Linked DNA regions of Macaca mulatta. The protein of the gene in region 2 interacts with the protein of the main gene of each other region in a biochemical or structural test. Links are inferred from orthologs where the notes say so. Each region holds a gene or a part of one and is shown on either strand. Other genes may lie near its edges.

The links.
Region 1: the proteins of CASK (region 2) and F11R form a complex in vitro, tested with the Homo sapiens proteins (2 studies listed by BioGRID and IntAct, with this or other methods). The link is inferred for Macaca mulatta from reciprocal best matches to the Homo sapiens genes CASK and F11R.

What each region holds. Positions count from the first base shown.
Region 1 is NC_133406.1:105,860,905-105,865,013, forward strand, and holds the start of F11R (junctional adhesion molecule A precursor), read left to right. Parts: upstream 1-1,309; 5' UTR 1,310-1,453; coding exon 1,454-1,517; intron 1,518-4,109. UniProt on the Homo sapiens protein: Seems to play a role in epithelial tight junction formation. Appears early in primordial forms of cell junctions and recruits PARD3.
Region 2 is NC_133426.1:41,839,209-41,843,449, forward strand, and holds the start of CASK (peripheral plasma membrane protein CASK), read right to left. Parts: upstream 2,801-4,241; 5' UTR 2,759-2,800; coding exon 2,700-2,758; intron 1-2,699. UniProt on the Homo sapiens protein: Multidomain scaffolding Mg(2+)-independent protein kinase that catalyzes the phosphotransfer from ATP to proteins such as NRXN1, and plays a role in synaptic transmembrane protein anchoring and ion channel trafficking.

The sequences.
Region 1 (4,109 bases), on a different chromosome or scaffold from region 2:
ACCATCCTGGTTAACACGGTGAAACCCCGTCTCTACTAAAAAATACAAAAAACTAGGCGGGCGAGGTGGCGGGCGCCTGTAGTCCCAGCTACTCGGGAGGCTGAAGCAGGAGAATGGCGTGAACCCGGGAGGCGGAGCTTGCAGTGAGCTGAGATCTGGCCACTGCACTCCAGCCTGGGTGACAGAGCGAGACTCCGTCTCAAAAAAAAAAAAAAAAAAAAAAAAAAAAAAAAAAAAAGATGTAACAATATAAATATTAACAGAAAGTTTGAGTATCAACATCGTCTATAGAAAAAAGGCGGCTTAGTCAGCACACAACTATTAGTCACAGTGAGAAAACAAATAATTCTGAAATGTAGGGACCTGTTCACAGATCAAATATGTGTAAAGGACATATCCACAGTCACCCAAAGATGTTTATAGAGCCTGTTCAGCTCAGTTTGTATCATCTGGGTGTGTTTTGTGTACATCTGTTTAACTTTCTTCTTGAGATAACGTCATTCCGCTTTTCTCAAATCGTATTATTGTGGGTTTAAAAAATTTTTTGTTGTTGTTTGTTTTTTGAGACAAGGTCTGGCTCTATCGCCCAGGCTGTAGTTCAATGGCGCGATCTAGGCTCACTGCAACTACCGCCTCCGGGCTCAAGTCATCCTCCCACCTCCGCCTCCCAAGTAGCTGGGACTATACTGACCAGGCTCCCATTTTCCAATTGAGTGCTCCCTTTCCCTTGTTTTTTCCCTTTCTTCCTCCCAGCGCAGCTCATCTCTCAAAGCCTGTGAATGCTGCCGGTGGGGTGGACAGAGGAACAGTTTGGAGATGGTGTCAAGGTAACATTCCATTTCTCTCCCGGTCTTCTCCCCCGCCCTCCCATGTTAATATGTGGTTTTCACTTGCCAAGAGGCAGGCCCAAAGTTTCTGCAGCACCAAACTGCAGGTGCAGTTGCACCAAGCAACTTACATTCAAACAAACGCAAAATCACAAACCAAGCCCGTCTCCATAAATCCCACACCACGAATGCCTTCCCTACTTCCTCCTTAGAGGTACTTCTCAGCCCTCCAGCTCCTACTGAGAACCCAGTCAGTCAGGAAGTCCCTACTTCAGGAACACCAACTAATCAGGGGGCCGTCACCTGCTGAAGGTGCGGCATTCGTCTCCTGACGCGACAGTCTCCTGGGCCAATCAGAGGCAGCTCAGGTGGGGAAAGGCGCAGTGCGCCGAGGCGGGGAGTGGCGGCAGGGTAACACCTGGCGGAGGTGACTCGCTCTGAAGAGCGGCGGTTCCTTACTCCAATCGGAACGCGCCGGGGTGGGGAGCTGGCCAATAAGCCGCGGAGGGCGGGGCCAGGCGGGGCTCCACCTGGCGGCTGGCTCTCAGTCCCAGCGCTGAAGTCTGCGGAGCTGTGTCTGTTCCCAGGAGCCCGTCGGCGGCTGTTGTACCGGAAGCCTGATCGCGATGGGGACAAAGGCGCAAGCCGACAGGAAACTGTTGCACCTCTTCATATTGGCGATCCTGTTGTGTAAGTTCCCGGAGTTTCGGGAGGAATCGGCCGGTCGGGTCGGAGGTTGGAGGAAGCCTCTCCCCACGCCCTTAGCCCGCGGGAGGGGAGGAGCTCAGAAACCTTCCTACCTCGCTCTCCTAATTCTCTTTTCCACCCCTGGCTGGTCCCTCTTTCACCACTCTCACAGCTGGGTGAGTGGCTGGCTCCCCTCCCCCACACTGGTGAGCTGTGACCGTACCCCTCACGCTGCACACACCAGAGGTACACTCCTCGTCCTCACTGCAGAGGGCCGTCAGGCCAAAGACCCTTCCACACTCATCTACCCAGCGCGCGCTCCACACGCCCCTGGGAAGGGCTAGCCTGCCCCTCCAACGCGCACCCACGAACCCCGCTGCGCAACCGGGAGCCTTGGCTCCTTAAGGGTCCTCGGAGAAAATCGAATGGCAGTGGTCTAGGGTGGAAGTCTCTTTCCCTAGCTTTTGCTGAAGGAGTCTCTGGCTCTTCTGAATCTTTGGATTGCGGCCATTGCTCTGGGAAAATGTCTGGGTGCACAGTCTAAAGAGGAAATGCAATAGAAACCTGAAATTTCTCTAAGCGCAGCAGAGGTTCCAGCGAAGTTCCTTTCTGGAATAACTACCTCAGGAGTCCTTAATACGTGTTGTTGACTCTTCCCAGGGGGAGAGTGTATCTGTTGGTTGCCTTGATTCTCATCAGAGCCAGAGCTCTGCCCTCCCACTGGCTGTGTATGAGAGTTTTTGTTTCCTTTGTAAACTCCCTTTCCTGAGGAACAATGAGGCTCACTTGCTAGGGCATGCCTCTGTCTCTAGATGTGTTTGTGTGGGTCTGAGCGTGTCGTCGGTTGGTTTGTGCGTTAGTCAACCTGTGGCATCACCTGTGTGTTTATCTGTCTGATTCTTGAGTGTGCGTGTCCTTGTGTGGGTAGTTGTGCCAGTATGTGTTCTACATGAGTCTCCCCTCACCCCCAAGGTTCTTTTTTTAGAAAGTGTTAAATAAATGAATGATTACAATCAGTACTGGTGTCTGTAGATTCCCTGCCCTTAGATGAATTGACTGCTCATTTGTACCTTATCACAACATAAACCCTTGGGGGAGATTGGACCCGAGGCATATCTCGTCCTCTTTGTATTTTACTGATAAGGAAACAGGTCCAAGAGGGGAAATGACTTCCAGGTTGACAATAGAGTTAGGGGTGGAACCTGGGAATGGAACCAAACCCTCTCGACTTGCTTTTCCTTTTTCCATTTTTGGATCCAGCATCTCAGGCACCCTGTAGCACAAGATCTGTTTGGGATACTGCTTCAGAATCTACTCTCTGTCTTACCTTTAAACTTACTTGCCTACTAGCTTCTTCATTCATGTCTCCCCCGCCTCCTTTTTTTTTTTTGCCCAGGCTGGAGTGCGATGGCGCCATCTTGGCTCACCGGCAACCTCCGCCTTCCAGGTTTAAGCAATTCTCCTGCCTCAGCCTCCGGAGTAGCTGGGATTACAGGCATGCACCATCACGCCCGGCTAATTTTTTTGTGTTTACTAGAGACGGGGTTTCACCATGTTGGTCGGGATGGTCTTGAACTCCTGGTCTCAGGTGATCCACCAGCCTCGGCCTCCCAAAGTGTTGGGATTACAGGTGTGAGCCACCGCACCTGGCCATGTCTCCCTTTTATTCTACTCTTTGATTTCCCTTTTCTTTATTTTCCCTTTTTTCCCTACCCCTTGCCTATTTTACTTCGGCTTGTATTTTAGAACTGCTAGTGACAACCATAGTTAATTTTTGGTTATGTGGTTCTGGCACTAAAGGTTTTTCCAACCTTTGTACTGTGCCAGTATTTTTCCCCTAAGCCCAGAAGTTTCTTCTGGGTGAGTGACTGTATTTGTAACAGTTTTTGTCTATGACAGTATTTGTCAGGCTTAAAAGTTTCCTGGAGCTGCTTCCTCCCTATCCTTTGCCACTGCTTCCTTTCTTTTTTCTTCTTCTAATTTCCTATATTATTTATGATAATCCTAAAATAATCATATACTGGCACTGGAAGGGTTGTGATAGCACCATTTTGAGCTTGGAGGTGTCTTCAGGGAACCAAGCCACAGTAGTGCAGAGGGAACCTGAGATGATGTCGCATTAGCCTGTTAGGACAGTGGGTCCTGGGAAGTGACATGTCCAGGGAATGGAGGAACTGACCTTGTAACTTTTAAATCAGGCTAGATCTGGGGTGGGGTTGGGGGAGGGGAGTCATTTGGTTAGTGCAAATGAGGATGGAAATGGGAGCCGGGCCGCCACACCTGCGTTCTAGCTTGGCTTTCTCTCTGCCCTGTTTGTGATCTTAGGCAGTAGCTCAGTCTTTTCATCTGTAAAATAGGAGTAATACTTGTCCCACCCTTGTCATGAGTGTGGTATCACCACTGAGGAGTTCCGGGTGGGCAGGGCAGAATTGCCCTGCATCTGGGTCATTCTCTGAGTCCCGGTGTTTCCTACTGATGTTTCTGACTCAAGCCCTTCTAGCTTTGCCCTTTCAGGGGCAGGCATACCTCAAAACTGTAGACTGGTGAGTTACTCCTCCTTTCCTCTACTTCTACTCCCAGGAGTGAATTGTTCCC
Region 2 (4,241 bases):
CAGCACATGCGAACATCTTCAAGGGCTTTCTGTTCAAATTCAGAGGTGAACAAATTCTAAGTTAAAAATGTATGCTGTCAAGGTCCCTGCAAGAAAATCTCAAGCTAATTTCAATTTCCAGATCAATATATACTAAGGCAATTTACTGGAGAAACCTTCAACCTTTACTCAGGTTGAGGAACACTATTATTACATTATTTAACAATAAGGCTAGCTTGAATTCATTATTTCACGTAATGGCATTTTATAATTGGCACATATTTGAATTGGTTTCAAATATGAATGAGATTTCACAGTTCATAGTAGTTAAGGTAGCCACAGAGTACCTATCACCTCAAAATTAGCTTGCTGCCCCTCTTTATGCAGCTCTGAAACAGCCAGAAAAGATGAATTTTCTTCTCCCAGGGGTGTTTCCTGAAAATATTCTATCAATTACAAATCAGCGGAATACTGACTGTGTTAATGTGATTCTGACCATTTCTTTTTGATATCCAAAGAGATCACATCATCGCCCTTCCAGACCTTAAGGAATCAGAACTGGTTACCAAAACTGATTCAGTGATGGCTATTTTCCATCTTCACAATATAATTAACATTTTAATCTCACATTTTCCAATTATGACTTTGTTAGTTCGTTTACATCAGCTATAACTAAGATGCAACAAACGTAATTCACCCACACATACGGTCATTTGGAGGCTCTTGGGAAACACCTAATTTATCTTCACTGGGTGCTGCTAAGAATGAGGAAACCAAGGAGATTTTTGATACATTTTTCTCTCTAGAACTGTGCTATTCACATGTGGCTACTAGGCACCTGAAACGTGGCTGGTCCAACTGGGAAACTGAATTTTGAATTTTATTTAATTTTAATTAATTAAAATTTAAATTTAGAAAAACGTACTTGATTCAGTTATTGGAAAACTTTTATGTATATTGGGTATGTATATTGGGTAACTTGGGTATGTGAATCTACTTTTGTAAATGCACATTTTATGAAACCTAAATACAGATTAAGTATTTCTGATTTTTATCAGAAATGTAGCTTAGTGTCAGAATTGAGATGTGCTGTTAGTGTAAAATACACATTGGGATTTCAAAGACTTAGCATAAAAGATGTAAAATACTTCATTAATATTTTTTCATACTGATTACATGTTTAAGTGTTAAGTTTGGATCTACAGGGTTAAATAAAATATTTTAGTAAAATTAATTGCACCTGTATGTTTTTATTAAATGTGGCTACTAGAAAATTTTAAATTACAAATGTGGCTCATAATATATCTTTTGGACAGTGCTGTTCTAGAACACTTCACAACCACTTTAACAGGACACATTTGGATACTTTCCTTTTAACAGTCTGGCTGGTCATGTAACAATAGGGCAAGGAGTAACATGTCCTCATATCAATTGGGTCTGAGTAAAGTGTGTAGCAAGCTCTACCCACAATTTCACCATGTGAGGCAACACTGTAATACCTCAATATGGAAAGAAAAGGAAACAAATTAGCACTCAAATTGAAATCGTGTACTGCAGACAACTTAAAAGAGATAGGGCCAACTGCTCTAAGGTCTTGGTTTCATTTCCCAACTGTGGACCTTAAAATAGACAATAAAGCACCGCTTCCAAAAAAAAAAAAAAAAAAAAGAGGTAAGATATTTCAATGGTAGCTCTAGCGATCCTTATTAAGCAAAAATTTGCTCTTAAATCTTATCTCCTCAACTTCTAAAGCCACAGAATACACGCTGTGTTAGGAAATCAACTTCAGATTGCCAGCATTTCCTTCACAAGCAAATTAGCAGGATTGTGCACTTGGAATACTGTTTGACAAGAATGAAAAGGAAACTATTCAAAATAGATTTAAGGAATGGACAATTAGATGAGGAACTGCAGATTTAATTCTCAATCAGCACTGTGATTAATCTGATTCCCTGCTTTTCCCCAGCGTAATTATACAACACAGATGAAAGGATGAGCATTTGGACTGTCAGTTCTATATTCTAGACCAGCCCGGTGACTCAAAGCAGACGGCTCTACCACGCTAACCACCATCCCAACAACAGTCGAGGGGAGCCTCGAGCACTGATTGAACAGTCATTGCATAACGAAGCATTAAAAATTCGAATGCCCCCAACTCTTTCCACGTTCATGTACACCAGGAGGGAATGTGCTGAAACTGAACGCACCCGGTCTTAAATGATCCCCTCCAATCCGGGCATGGGGTGTACACAAAGGCATCTGTCTAATATCCCGCACAATAGACACACACCCCACAATTAAAACCCTGGACTCACTCTCTCTCTCACCACACAAGCAAAGGAAATGCAAGCTGCTCTTTTCAAAAATGGTCTATGGCACATGCAAGGTAACAAAAACCCCAACTGAAGCAACTATAAAATCGGCTGTGCCACGTCCCTGTGCAACCGTCAGATAAAATGCAGGCAGCCGGCCCCACGCCTTACGGGGTGGCCAGCCTCGGCTCGGTGGCCTCAATGGACCGCTGAGAACCCCCAGGCCCCCGCCTGGCAGGAGCTCCAGGTACACGTCTATAAATACTCCAAGATGAGAAGGACGAGAGGGGAAGAGGGGAAGAGGGGAAGGAGAGAGGGCAGGGGGCAGGCCCGGAGCGGGTGCGGGAAGACCGGGGCATCACTGAAATGCATTTTTCCACACTCCCGCTCCCTCGCGTGGAGACTCACTTTCCGATCACCTCGCACAGCTCGTACACATCCTCGAACAGCACGTCGTCGTCGGCCATGGTCCGGAGGGGATAGCGGCCGCAGCGTGGAGGGCTTCGAAAACGGGGGTGGGGGCGCCCAAGAGCTCAGTGCCCAGCCCCGGGATCGCCTCCTCCCCTCAGGACCCGCGAGCCCTCGGTGCCGAGGACGCTCGAGTGGTGCCGCGAGGCCCAGAGACTGCGGCGCCTTCCTCTGCAGGCGACCGCCCCGGCGCGGGCGGCGGGGCCGGGGCGTGGGAGCGAGGGCGGCCCGGGCCCGGCGCCGCCCGCCCGCCCGCTGCTCCTCGCGCTGCTCGGGCCGCGCTGCCCGGCGTGCGGATCCTCGGGGACCGCGCGGCGTCGCGCTCTCCGCTCGTCAGCCCGCGCGGGCCGCGAGGCCGCGACCGCTCCCTCTGTCCGAGGCCGGCTCCGTCGCGTCGCGGAGCAGCTCGGGCTATAGAGGGGGCCGCGGCAGGACCATGGAGGGAGGATCGCCGCGGAGGGAGGTGGCGGCGGCGGATCGGCGCTGGGGACCAGGAGGCGGTGGCAGAGACGCTCCCTCCTACTTCTCCTCCTCCCGCAGCCGCCACCGCCCGCCCGGGAGTGGGAGGGGGCTTCGCGGGACTGGCGCTCTGTGCGGGCGGGAGCCGCGGCCGCCGCCTTCTGCTCCGCCCCTCCGCCTCAGCAGCCGACCGGCTAGCCAGCCCCGCGCACCCGCCTCGCGCAGACACGCCCTCCTCCCCCGTCGGCGGCGCGGCTTCCAGAACCACAGACTCCGCCCACTCTAGCCCGTCGGGAGGCGGTGGCCCAGGGAAAGGGGAGCGGGCTGAGCGGCGCATGCGCGCGGCGCGGGCCGCGTCACGGCAAACGGGCGGGCACCGGGATTCTAGAGGGCGCGGGGGGTTGAGCGGGGCGCGCCGGCTGCAGCTGCCGAGGCGGGGCTGGTTGGGGTCGTCGCCTCCGCGCCTAGCGGCGACCAAGCCGCGAAAGGGGCTGGAGACAAAAGGTCCACGGCTGTACGCTCGTTGTCCCGCAAGAGGCTCGAAACTCTGGCCGCTCCCCTTTCCTTCTTTTGTAATCGCAGGGAGCCTTTCCCAGCTTTTTGCTGGGAAAAGAGGCAGGGATAGGGTGCTAATGAATGAGAAAGCTAAAAGAGAGGTGGAGAGAGGTTGTCACTGAATCCGTGCTTGGCAGCGGATGCTTTTAGTGCTACCCTGTCATTCCTTAATGAAGATGAGGGCTGGGGGCAAGGGGAGGTCGTCCGAGAAAAGGACTAAACAAAAACTGCCTAGGAAGGTGTGCGACAGCAAACGGTCATCTATAGAGACAGCTTCTCCCACGTTCTGCCCCAAACTCAACAAATACCTATCCAGCGCCTACCCTCACTAGAGACCAACCTAGAGAGAAGCCAGGAAGACAGGGACAAACCGCGACTTTAAGCTCCTTTGTATATTGCCCTCAAACTCCCAGCACCTACACTGCTCTGTATACTCCCTATACATGTTAGACTTGTCAGGAACAAAAT